Linked DNA regions of Arabidopsis thaliana. The protein of the gene in region 1 purifies or fractionates together with the protein of each later gene. This does not show direct contact. Each region holds a gene or a part of one and is shown on either strand. Other genes may lie near its edges.

Region 1 (7,369 bases):
CGTTTGGTTGATGGAGCCAAATGGATATAACCAATGAAGATAAGGCATGACGTTTTCAGAGTTGGCAATGCACATAAAATAAGGTGGAGGAGACCAATCTAAAACCTTAAACGATGTATATATTAATCCACCAGGGCCTTAACTATATATTTTGTAGCTTTATTCTATGTATAATAAGTATAAGTGGTTGCCGCCACGTCCACTTCGATTTGTAAAGAGCACGTCAACGTAAAAAGCTGATTATGGAAGCATGAAATAGACGAAAATAGTAAAGCACAACAAATCTTTGAGACAAGTAGTGACGTTTGACGAATTAACCGATTTTCATTGGAGTAAAATAAGTCGTCTGTGTGCACTAAATTAAATTATGAAGAAAAACTTACTTATATCTAGATAGGTTTGTGCCATTGACCTGGTTTATCTTTAAATTTAGCATTTTTGAAGAATCAAATCTTAGTTATGCAGAAAACTCTTTGCGGAAATAGGATCTGGATCGTACGTTCTCTGTATCATATGTATAATTACTAATCATATAGACAACAAACTATGAGATCATCTTATAAATGATAGTGTCATAACCTAGTTCAGTTTCCCATAATCCAATAGTAGTTTACAATTTTACAAAAATTTGTGAACATTTCCTGTCAACTATTTGCGAGTCATGTGTGAGTGTGACCATGTGGACTGTTGAGTTCATTAAAATCTCTCAACTTACAACGTAAATTTGACACATCAATTACAAAACTGATCCACATTTTCTTGTTCTCCTTTCACATATATAGAGAAGAGAAGATACTACTACTAGTCCTGAATCACGATTTATATGAAAAAAGTGCAGAGATCATCAAATCATCTGCAGATGGAGATCGCCTGTTTGCTGGGCAAGCTCTACCATCATCGCTTCATCAAAGAATTTATTTCCGCTGACGTCTTCGCTCATTCCCTGCATAACCAACAAATTATACATATCGTGAGAGTCTGAAACTGATGATCCAAACACCCAACGAGTCATACAATATAACTAGCCTAGGATGTATCCAGCAAATTATAGCTGGTGTTACTTGGTTAAAGAGTAATTAGCAAGGGCCGGGTTTGTAAACAGTAGTTTCGGGGATCCTTTGGTTTGTGAGGGTTTACTGGGGTCATTTAACCAAACACTAGAGTAACAAATCAGTTTATGGTTTCATTCGTATCTTTAACCGCATGAAACCCACTAAGTTTTGGGATGTGCATTGAAACAAAGGAAATCATAATACCTTTCTACGGCGGGTCTTGACCATGAATTCCCGAGCTAGATGCTGAATAGGAGCGGGCTCAAGTGGGCGCAACTGGATGGCTTTGTCTAGAGGGTCTCCTGGCACAATGGCCCAGTGATCAAACACAGATAGGCAAAAGGCTTGTCCCTGAGTGTGGTACCTCAGATCTGTCTCAAACCCAAAGGACTCTATCACAGGCAGAAAGGCCTGCATCAACACCAAAGAATATACTCAATGAATCATCACTTAGTCAAATAACAGGAACAAAGTAAGGAGAAAAGACACAAACAAAACTAACCTTCACGATATAAGCTGGAGTACCGGGTTGAGGAACATCAGATGTGACATGCCCACGTCTACGTGACAAAACTGTGTAGATTGCAGTTACACAGTCGATTGGTGTTTGTATCTGCGACAAAACCATAACTCTTAGTTATCATTTTAAGAGAAAAAATGTGACGAGCAAAAATGGAAAGGGATTATGTACCTCCACATAGTAGACAGGTTCCATTAGCCTTGGAGTTGCCATTAGAAAAGCTGAATATGCAACACGTCTTGCTGTTGGAATCATCTGACCAGATCCTCTATGCAATGGCTCTGGTGCTATCCGTGCATCAACAATCTTGAACTTTACATTTCTGATGGGCTCATCACAGAGGGGACCTTCACGAGCACCCCACTGGAACCTGCAAGAGGAATAAAACGAAGCCACTTAGCTAAAGCCAACAAAATCGAGTAAAAGAAAAGTGTAACAGAAGAAAGATGATTACCCTTGAACAATGGAGTCTTTCACTGCCATCATCAAGTTCCTGTCCACCTCAGTTGGAAGGGTGTCATCCAATAATATGTTTGGCCCCTGATCAGTCGAAAATCAACAATCAATGAAATTGTCAAAACAGACATAAACCAACCATAACAATAAAGATAAAGTAAACCCCAGATTGCAGTGTTTTAAGAATACAAGCATTTCACCTGTTTGTCAGGGCCAAAAGCCCAGATGGAACGTGCAGCAAGTAAATCCCAGTCATATTTCGTCCTGAAGAAGTCACCAAGTTGTTTTCTGTTCCAGTCAATGCTTACAACGCCATTCTCAATGTCCTCTGCAAGTCCTCTATCCAATGGCTCTGCAATCTTTAGCATGAAACAGATATCAGATTTTTCACAAAGTAATTGTGCTTGAGCACCATACCAAACATCGCAGTCTAATATATAAGAGATAATAGTGGAAAAAGAAGATCTCTTACCATAGTTATTTTGTTCTTTTTGTTTGGTGTCTCAGCAAAACACTTCATCGACGAAGATTCAACCACTGTCTCACAGAAGGAGACCACCGGATCTGCAACCTACAAATTTAAGAAAGCAAAAGGATCTTAGCTATCAAACAGCCAAATCAGCAATTTGCTTGCACACCGGAATCACAGTCATAGAGCCAAATTAGAGATACAATTAGATACCTTTACTTCGACCTCTGAATAGAGCTCCCTGAGGTCCTTCATGATTGAATCCAAGTACAACTCACCTGTGCCTAGAATAGTATGTTCCCCAGACTCCTCAACTTTGGTAATCGCAAGGGGATAGCTTTTGCTAATTTTCCTAAGCCCTTCCACCATTTTAGGCAGCTCACTAGGATTCAAAGGCTCAGTTGCAGTCTTGACTACTGGGAGGGTATTAAATTGGAGAGCCCGGAATATGTAGACATCTTCATCATAGCTTGCATTACACAGAGTCGCAGTTTTCATGATGGATGCATCGACACCTTCAATTAAAACCCAGGAACCGGGAGGGGCACTGCTTACTGGTATTCTATACCTAGCTTGATATATCCATAGCTTCGTCACTTCTTTTATAGTCATGTCCTCCTCATCCTCAGGTGAATACCCTTCTCCTAGTACACGTACGCTTTGCCCTGTTTGAAGCCTACCACTATAAACTCTTCCAAACACATCAAAAACACTAGTATCTGATTTGGGGTACAACTTTGTCACATTAACCATGAGAGGTCCAGATGGATCACATTCTACCATTGATTCATAAATGGGGGAATCTTTGGTTCCGGTATATGAATGGTCGACCTTCCTAGCTGCAGCCTCTCTGGGTGAAGGAATGTGCTTTACCAACATATCAGTGAACCCTGATGCCGAACCAAACACTGAACTACAGGCTAACCTAAGTAGAGGTCTGACGTTCAGCTTATATGCACTATTACTCAGAGTCACTCCTAATTCTGCAAGGGTGGTCTCTACACTCTTCTTATGTTCACCTATCACTTGGCTGTATATCTTGTATAGGGGCTCCAGAATAAACTGAACAAATGCTCTTTCTCCACCACCTACTGGAGGACTTCTCTTGAATACCCTAGTATCAGAGTGATAATATACATCTCCCCAAAGTCGAGATGCAAACTTATCCACGTCCATGGCCACACCATGAAGCTTGGCATACATTTTAGCAAAAGATTGTAATGTGAAGGACCATCCGGCTGTACCACTGGCAAAACATACATTTCCAGCTGCAGGGTCTATAAGAGGTAAGTCTCCAGCAGTTGTTGAAGCAGCAGATATGTGGTTATTAATGACTTCAATTGTATGCCTCAGCTTGTAGTAAGCATCCCTTGGAGGTAGTTTGAGCTCAGTTATGAGCCTGTCAACCTGTTGGGGGAAAAAAATTGACAAAAAGCAAAGGTCAAGCAAATGTATGGAAATATAAAATTTCACACAGTATCTCTTAAGTTACACGTTGAAGCATGAAGTACCTTATTGATAACAACTACAATAGGGAGATGGTCCTGGATTGCATGCCGTATAGCTCTCTCTGTGTTAACCTGAAAAAAGATTATTAGCGTCAGTACAAATAGTATACTTCAAAAAATTAAAAATACAGACCAAAAAAGAGAGAGTAAAGACTTACCATCACTCCTTCAGCAGCATCAACAATCAGAACAGCACCATCAGCAAGTCTTAAAGAAGCAGTCATTTCGTCAGAGAAATTGACATGTCCAGGGGTATCCATGATATTGCACAGGTATGATTTGGATCTACTGTCCTCAAGGACAAGAGACATTGGAACCGCCTTGATTGATATATTTCTCTCCTGCTCATCGACTCGTGTGTCTGTATATTTCATATGCTTCTCGTTTTTAGCATTAAAAGTAGACATATGATGCGTCTGCTCTACCAACATATCCATGAAGACAGTTTTGCCGTGCTGTAGATGCCCCACAAGAGCAACATTCCTCACAAGCGCAGGATTAGACATGAGGCCGATAAGAAACTGTGTTGACACATACGTTGCTTGATCTTTGACCCCCACCTCAAATCTAATATCTCTAACAGGTTTGATAATGGGTTGCTCAAGAGGCTGCTCATCTTCATCCATAACCAAGGTCTCAACATCCTCACCATAAACCTCCTCAGCAGTAGGGTAGTACTTCTTATCCTCAGGAAGAACAATTTGGTTCTCCATCTCAACATCATTGATAGTGGTAATCCAGCCATTAGAACCCCCAGGCCCTTGTTCGCCATCGGAACCATTTTCTTCAAGATGCTTATCTTGGAGATCTTCATCTTCTACTTCATCATCACTATCTCTGTCAGACTCAATCTCAGGTCCAACATAGTTACCAAACTCATCATACAAGCTACTTTCCATCTTTATGTAAACCTGTCAAAAAAGAATCCCATGAGCAATCAGGATTTTGTAGCAGATAAACAATAACGGCAAAAAAGTCAAATGAGTGCATTACCACAAAATCAAGCTTTTGATAGATCTATCTGGGTTATTTACTATAGCAATTCTGCAACATATTTTATTTAACCCATTGGCGAGTAATCTCCTCTAATGCTCAACACCAAGTCCAAGAGAACACCATGAAAAAGCTAGAATCAACCAGAAACTTAAGGTAATTAGACTAGAGCAAAACCCTAGGAGAGAATCGAGCAGAAGCTTATGCTAAGTTGGACTAAAGAAAAACAACAAGGCGAGAGTCGAGCAGAAGCGTTGGAGTAGAGCAATAACCTAGGGTAGAATCAACAAGCTGAACAAAGTTAAGGAGTGAGAAGACGAACCGGTGGGGAGAGAGAGCGAGAGGCGTTGCGATAGCTAGAGGAAAATGCGAGTTGGCTCGGCAATAGGGTTTGTCGCCACTGAGACTGTTATCGCCGGAACAAGGGAATGAAAAATTTAGATTTAGGTTTTGATTGGAAGACTCTACGTCGGACAGAGAGTTTTAGTCGGTATATATTGATTAAATTATAGTAATTGAAATCTATTTGTAACGATGTGGGATATGTTGATGGGTCGGGTCCAATTATATGTCAATCGGCCCAATTTAGAAAAAATTGAAACGTCTAAACCAGAACGTAAACCGGGTTCACTATGTTTACTGCAGAAAAAATTCAGTAAAAGTTTTAAAAGATGTTTGCGTTTTGCGATGGATGAAGCAAAATTAGTCGTATGTCACTTAGGAGTTCATTTTAGATTGAAAGCTGCGATTTGAAGAAGATAGTAAGCATAACAAGATGGTTATAATGATTACATGAAGACAGTTCTTTACTCAAGTGTAGTGGGAAGTATCATATACTCTTCAATCGGTACAAGCCCTTATTTGGCTTTGTTGGTGACAGGGGTAAACTTTTGGAATATCACTGTGAAGCATCGTCCAAGAGACAGTGAGAAGTATCGTATAGACATATACTCTACAATCGGTACAAGACCTAATTTGGGTTCTCTAGTTGGTGATAAGGGTAAACTTTTGAAATATCCCTGTGTAGCATCGTCCAAGAGACCAAGACTCCGATTATTATTTGACTTGAGAAGACTAAACACATTAAACACATTAAAGGTTAGACTTCGTTTTATCATTTCGAGCGAGTTTATCGGAGAGTGAGGTGAATTTTATCAAGCCATTTATATAATCCAGAGGAGATGTAGATACTCACCTCTCAACACATAAGCAATAGGCTAAGTGCAAACCAAAACACCTCGTATAAATGTTTCGGGTGAAGATTCACCTACGGTTTAACAATGTCTAAGAAACCACTTTAAAACAGAAAGTGAGAAACGAAGCTAAAAAGGTTCCACACTTATAATGGAAGTACATTGTTATAATTTAAAAGTAAACCATCAAGAACAACTCTTCGCAACATTCTGATATCCATGTCGGAAGAAGACAACAAACACAGACTGCTTATTTTTCATCTTCATCACTCGAAAGCCCCAGTTCTATTTTCACGGCCTGCTTCTCTTCTTTGACGGTTTTGTTGGAGGATCCTGATGCTTCTGAATGTTTTTTGTCATCATCAGCACCCGTTTTCTTTACAGGCTCTTGTTCTTCTTGTTCTGTTGGTTTCGGACCAGTATCTTTGCTTCCTGATGATTCTTGTTCCACAATGGAGGCTTTCTTTTCGGTTTCATCAGGCTTCTTGTAACTAGATAAAACTTGTTGGAGCTCATCATTCAGATGCAGAGCCTCGAACAGGACTCCCTCGTCGTCTGTTGTACTCTCTATGATCATTTGAATCAATGGCTGCGATTGCTTGCATTTCTCCATCAGGCTAACCGTTAGATCGTCCTGTAACCATAATATATATAAACCTATTACTTATCACTGTCCTGTCAATTTCACTTTAAGCACATATATCCAAGGAAACAATAATGTAAACCAGGAGATACTCATAACTCAATCCATATTCCATAGACATTTGTTAAGGAAAATGACAAAAGTTAGATGAGCAGACAACGTAGCAACTACCTCTGTGTGATTTGGCTTTCCTTCAGTATTCAACATGCTAGAGAGCAATTCGAGGCTGTTCCGTGTAATCTCAATCTGTTCTTTCTTATCCTTTATCGATAAGTTCCCAAAGTTATAGTCAAGACCATCATCGTCCCCAAGAGCCTGTTCTTGATTAGGAACCGGATAGCTACCAGGTGGAGGCACTGGAACAGGCCGTTGCATAAGAGACTCCAGAGAACTTTGTCCCGGCATTGAATTCTCTTCACCTCGAGCGTGTAATCCATTTTCGCCTTCCAAGCTCTATGAAACAAAAGACAAGCCGGAGATTATAGGCATATGAACAATTCCATCTTTGCATAATAAGCAAATAAGATTCAGAGAG
Region 2 (5,110 bases), on another chromosome or scaffold:
TTAATGTCGAGCTCAAGATCCAAGACACCTCGCTTCAACACATTGCAAAGACAATCGTTGACAATATTATACTGAGCAAAATCCATAGACACCAATTTCAGAGAGAATCTCTTTATACGGTAACTGGCAGGTTCAGCTAATAATCCATCAACAAAATTCTTGAAACTTTCCCAATGATGGAAAACAACGTTTCGTTTGATAGTAACCAAATTCTGAAAGTTCTTGGAGACAAACTTTAAGCACGTAGCCTCCTTTGCCGAAAGAAAAGAAACGATGTGGTAAATAACATCGTCTGGTAAATTGCTGAATCTATCCATACTTATCCCAAACCCTAGAGAACCGATCGATCAATACCAAAAAAACTTCAATTTTCTAATCGAAACAAGAAATCTGAAGCCAACACGAGATTCAATATTGAAATTGTGATACGATCGACGACGCCAATTCGAGAGCTTTCTGACGCGAATCAAAGAGGAATTGACGAATAACTAGAGCGGAGTTGTGACATTTATTGAAAGCAAAGAAAAGAAACGAACACGACTGGGGTAATTTGAATCCACTATTTTATACTCGACTACTAAAACAAAGCTCTTATTTTTTAATCCAATGATTTTGCGCCAGCTGTTATTAGCCACTCCCAATATTCATGCATTGGTGATAAATTTATCTAAACAATGTATCGCAAGTCTCCGCATAAATTTAAGGGACAAAAAGAGGCCAACACAAAGAAGAAGGCCGGAATCAAAAAGATCCAACGGTCAAAAGAACTCTGCAAAGAATTCAATAAAGCTTTTGAGATGACAATATCAGATCACTCTTTAGATTGAGAAGCTTCTTCTTCAGAGATATATTTCAACGGACAGTCAATCCCTGAGCTGCTGATGATGTCTGAGTACCTTCCTCTGTTGCCTTATTCGATTCGATCGTGCTGATTACATTCCTAACATTGTCCTGCACATACCCGAACAAGAAACATCTTGTTATTACAACGAATTTTCAATATCGCAGGATTTTCAAATTTTGGTTTTATATTTTACCCGCCAAGCTGCTAGCTTTGTTCGAAGAGACTGCCATTGCTTTTGTCCAAATTCACGCTCGGCACAGCGGCTGATACATGAACAGATATGAAGTACGAGAATGTGTGACTTTGGATTTACACATATAAATCGAAATAGAAGTAGATTAGAAACTTGCCTGACAATTACAACTTGGTTCATCTGATCCATCTTACAAGCAACCAATTTTGCAGTTATTGCCTTAACCACCCACAATTCAACCTCCTCGTCATTTACCTGCACCCCCGACAAATTCGATGAGTCTGAGAAAGCAACGCAAAAAAGGTTATCAACATTTAATGTATTGTTCGTAGAAAAGAAGCTAACCTGTAGGGTGTTCTTGATCGAGGCATACGGTATTTTGCCAGAATCATCTGAGGCCAAATCAACTAGGGACAACAACCTCATCTTTGCTACACAGTCTTCCTCGACAAGTCCTGCAGATACCGTCTATGGCTTATTATGGGTTCACTAAAGAATGAAGGATTCGATTCATCTGAGGATCATGTCAAGCGGTAAAGGGATAAGAACAGTACCGTATGTTTGCAGAAATCCTGAATTCGCATTTTGGAATTCCATGTATGCATCTAGCCTCTGAGTAAGAAAAATCTTCAGTAGCTGGTAAACTGGTGCATTGTTAGGATCCTTCTCCAACTGTGCGACAGCTGGATGGTCTAATAAATCACACTGCAATTCAAAATACAAAAGTCAGGGATGTAATTCCAGTAAAAGACCTCACTGAACAAAAGGCGCAGTAGTTAACACTTACAAGCTACAATGACAGTAACAAGTCAACGTGCAAAAATCTTACGCATTTGAATGAATGATTTATGAATTAGGATACCTGAAATATACTGGGAGCCTTGACAAATTCAATAACTGCTCGTACAGCTTCCTCCTTGGCTTCACTCAGGACTTGGGTATCTTCATTGGAGAAAGTTGCCAAATAATTTGTCACAAACTGGAGGGATTCTTTCGCAAAACTGAAATATTGATTAAAAATCCCATGAGGACATTGGTATACCTTAAAAAAAGGAAAAAGAAGAAACAAACATTGTTGCAGTACCTTTTATTTTCTCTAAGCACTTTAGCAATAGCAAGAAATAGTTCCCGCTGATCTTTGATGTCAATGTTCCACTCTTTCAAGAAGCTGTCAATCTTCTTAAAGGAAGGTACAATATACTCGGTAACCTTCCCGTTTACAGCCAGTTCCAGAGCTTTCATGTATACTTGAAAACGAGCATTTGGGTGGTCTACCAGATTATATAGATTGAAGAGGCTGCACAGAGACAAGCAACAGATGAGAAACACATAACACAAAAATGAAACATTAAAATAGATGCTCAAAGACTCCTAAGAGAGATTAGCTCAAAGAGTCACACGATCATACATCTTCAAACGCAATGAAGCTTTGTCGTTTGGTTGTTGAATAACCTTAGCAGCTATAGCTTTCACCATTTCAAGGACTTCCTCAGGACTGTTCGCATTCTTGACAAGGTTGCAAATGATGGTGTAGGTACACTCAAGATCTAATAAGAGGCAAACACCATCAAAATTAAAGAGATATTATTTATGGTTAAAAAGGACTAACAAACATATAGACCTGCACACACAAAAAAACAGACCTTTCTCAGAGATTTTGGCTGATACCAAGTCAGCTGAAGTTACCATCAACGTTGCCAAATCCAGCCACTTCCCATTTATTATAGACTCCTCTGCTTCCTTACATAGCCTGGAAACTTCAGGCTCTGCGACCTAATAAGCAAAAGAAATCATAATCAACTAAACAATTCCATAGTGAGGCAATTTTTATTAAAACAATCAGATCAAGTGAGATTGCAATAGACACATGGTAGCTAAAACACTAAATTGCTCAATTCAGACTTCATTTTTATCAACACAACGCCTCAACAATCAGTGATTCCCAAATTAAGGTCGCATAAAGACAAAGATACCCAGAAATTGCTCATAAATTCCAATAACGAAATGTAGCAACTTTCGAAATAGACAATCGTATTCACTAGTCGATGATTGAGAACAGAGGTTGGTACCGACCTCGGGACCAGCATCAGCCCAGGCAAGCTGGGAAGTGAAACGAACAATGGCGAGGTAAGGATCTTCTTCGGAGGTGGGAACAATCGTCGTCATTCTCTGCTCGACTGAGTCTCTAACGCTAATCCTAAATCCCTAGCACAAGTTCGAGAGAGACAAAGCAACAAATTGAAAGCCCTAATCAACGTTTTATGGTTTTTCTCGGTTCAGAATTGAACCGGATCCGGTCTAATAATAAAATAACGAGGGAAAGAAACGGTTTTGTGCATCAAAATTAACGTACACAATCTAACGGTCAGGATCAATCGTATAATTTGGTGACCGGCTTGATTAGCCACCGTGATCCGCTTAATTGTACGTGTTCTTTTGGTTAAATGATCTCAAATGTTTATACTTAACAGTTGTTTGATAGATAGAAGCTGCAAGTCAAACATGATGATCAATTTTGGCTTGAAACATCCATGTTGTTAAGACAAGTAATGAACTAGTCCGAGACATTGCACTGTTGTTTATGCAAAAAAGGTTGAATTTCAGGAAGCTGTTATGAGAATGGTGACCGAGCAAGGAACATGGAACTTGAATAGTTGTATAACCAATAGCAAAGTTTGTAAAATGATTTTCTTTTGCTGGAAACACATTCTGGAGATCTCAAGATTGAGAAAGCTTCGTAGCTTTTTCAAGAACACAAGAAATGGCCAAATTCAAAACAATCCTCAAAACCAGTTTGTAAGGATAAAGAATAAAGTTTAGAACAATTTTTACATTTTTTCAAAGGGTCAAATGCATGAGATGTTTGTCGTGGAAATAGAAATCATTTGTCAGATCCACAAGGACCAGATCCAAACAAGTAACCCAAAGAAGATCCTCCACCTGGTGCAGCATGAACCTTCGTAGATGGTCGTTCCTGTTTCTCAAACCACAAAACCAAATCAGTTTTAAATTCAAGTTCCTCAATCAAACTTGAATTTAAAACTCTTACCGTGAGGAAGTTGCCACAGTTTTGTCCATCTGATCTGTAGTAATTATTAGGACTTCCTCTCACACCAGCCGAGTTCTCCTCTGTCTTGTTTTTATCTCCGGTTGTTGTAGTTGTGGTCGTGGTCTTGGGTCTACCTCCAGCTCCATCCGTTGTTGTTGTGGTGGTCGTGGTGGTGGTAAAACCGGTTTTAGCGTTGGGCTTGTTTGGTTTGGGAACAGACTCGCCGGAACCAAAAAGATAACCGAGAGAGCTCTCTCCGCCGCCGCTGTTAACTCCTCTAGCTTTCCCCATTTTCCGGCGAGAATATTCCGCCGCCGATTCTTGAAATTCTAACAATGTGTAACATTGTAAACATAATCCAGATCAATATATCTATAATTAATTTGATTACTTGTAAACCATTAAAGACACATAGGAGAGAGTTTTTTTTTTTGTACCTTTTTTTTCCTGATTTGTTTCTTCTTCTACGATTGGCCGCAAGTAAAGGTAAAGAAACAGAGGAACAAGGAGATACACACATGAATGTGTATATATACAATCTACACGTGTAAGATAGTGTGTGGTGAGAAATAGGCATGAAGTTTATGGTAGGCACGTGTGGGGTTAGTTGTTTGGTAAATCGCTTAAATTTTACCCGGTTTTTTTTTGGGTAAAAACCGGTTTGATGGACCAAAATGATTATTAATCATGAGCCGTTTAAAACATTCTTTTATGTTGGTACAACAAAGCTGTTTGTAACCATTTATGTTTAACAATTGTCATTTTTTATAGATTAAAAGATTCCAATCACAGAGGAAATAGTGACAACCCACGAAATTGTGGATTATCAATATTATCATCTAAATCATTGACAGGGAAAAGAGGGAGGCCATGATACAAGATTTATATTCCATTTTTAAAATTTCGAACTATACCATATTGCTAAGTATTTTAAAGAAGAAGAAAAATGATGAAAGTGTTGGAATGGGCTTAGGCCTCTTGAGAAAAGGAAACTACAAACGTAAGCCCAATATCTTTTGAGGTC

Evidence for each region.
Region 2: the proteins of MEE5 (region 1) and AT5G15610 fractionate together in Arabidopsis thaliana (co-fractionation; one large-scale study listed by BioGRID). This does not show direct contact.

Annotation. Positions count from the first base shown.
Region 1 is NC_003070.9:1,898,059-1,905,427, reverse strand, and holds MEE5 (Ribosomal protein S5/Elongation factor G/III/V family protein), read right to left. Parts: upstream 5,478-7,369; 5' UTR 5,321-5,477; intron 5,196-5,320; exon of another isoform or gene 5,132-5,195; 5' UTR 4,999-5,131; intron 4,917-4,998; 5' UTR 4,905-4,916; coding exon 4,164-4,904; intron 4,078-4,163; coding exon 4,009-4,077; intron 3,905-4,008; coding exon 2,711-3,904; intron 2,600-2,710; coding exon 2,501-2,599; intron 2,388-2,500; coding exon 2,229-2,387; intron 2,113-2,228; coding exon 2,027-2,112; intron 1,943-2,026; coding exon 1,744-1,942; intron 1,666-1,743; coding exon 1,555-1,665; intron 1,464-1,554; coding exon 1,257-1,463; intron 944-1,256; coding exon 845-943; 3' UTR 531-844; downstream 1-530. Other genes in the region: AT1G06210 (ENTH/VHS/GAT family protein), read right to left, coding at 6,442-6,825, 7,006-7,287. UniProt on the Arabidopsis thaliana protein: Splicing factor involved in pre-mRNA splicing and component of the spliceosome. Essential for reproduction. In female gametophyte, is necessary for the egg cell and central cell fate determination and hence reproductive success.
Region 2 is NC_003076.8:5,077,672-5,082,781, reverse strand, and holds AT5G15610 (Proteasome component (PCI) domain protein), read right to left. Parts: upstream 3,325-5,110; 5' UTR 3,204-3,324; coding exon 3,111-3,203; intron 2,811-3,110; coding exon 2,681-2,810; intron 2,585-2,680; coding exon 2,446-2,584; intron 2,335-2,445; coding exon 2,122-2,334; intron 2,039-2,121; coding exon 1,900-2,038; intron 1,743-1,899; coding exon 1,592-1,742; intron 1,493-1,591; coding exon 1,383-1,492; intron 1,293-1,382; coding exon 1,038-1,292; intron 952-1,037; coding exon 853-951; 3' UTR 548-852; downstream 1-547. Other genes in the region: AT5G15620 (F-box/RNI-like superfamily protein), read right to left, coding at 1-317; SP1L4 (SPIRAL1-like4), read right to left, coding at 3,919-4,011, 4,087-4,377.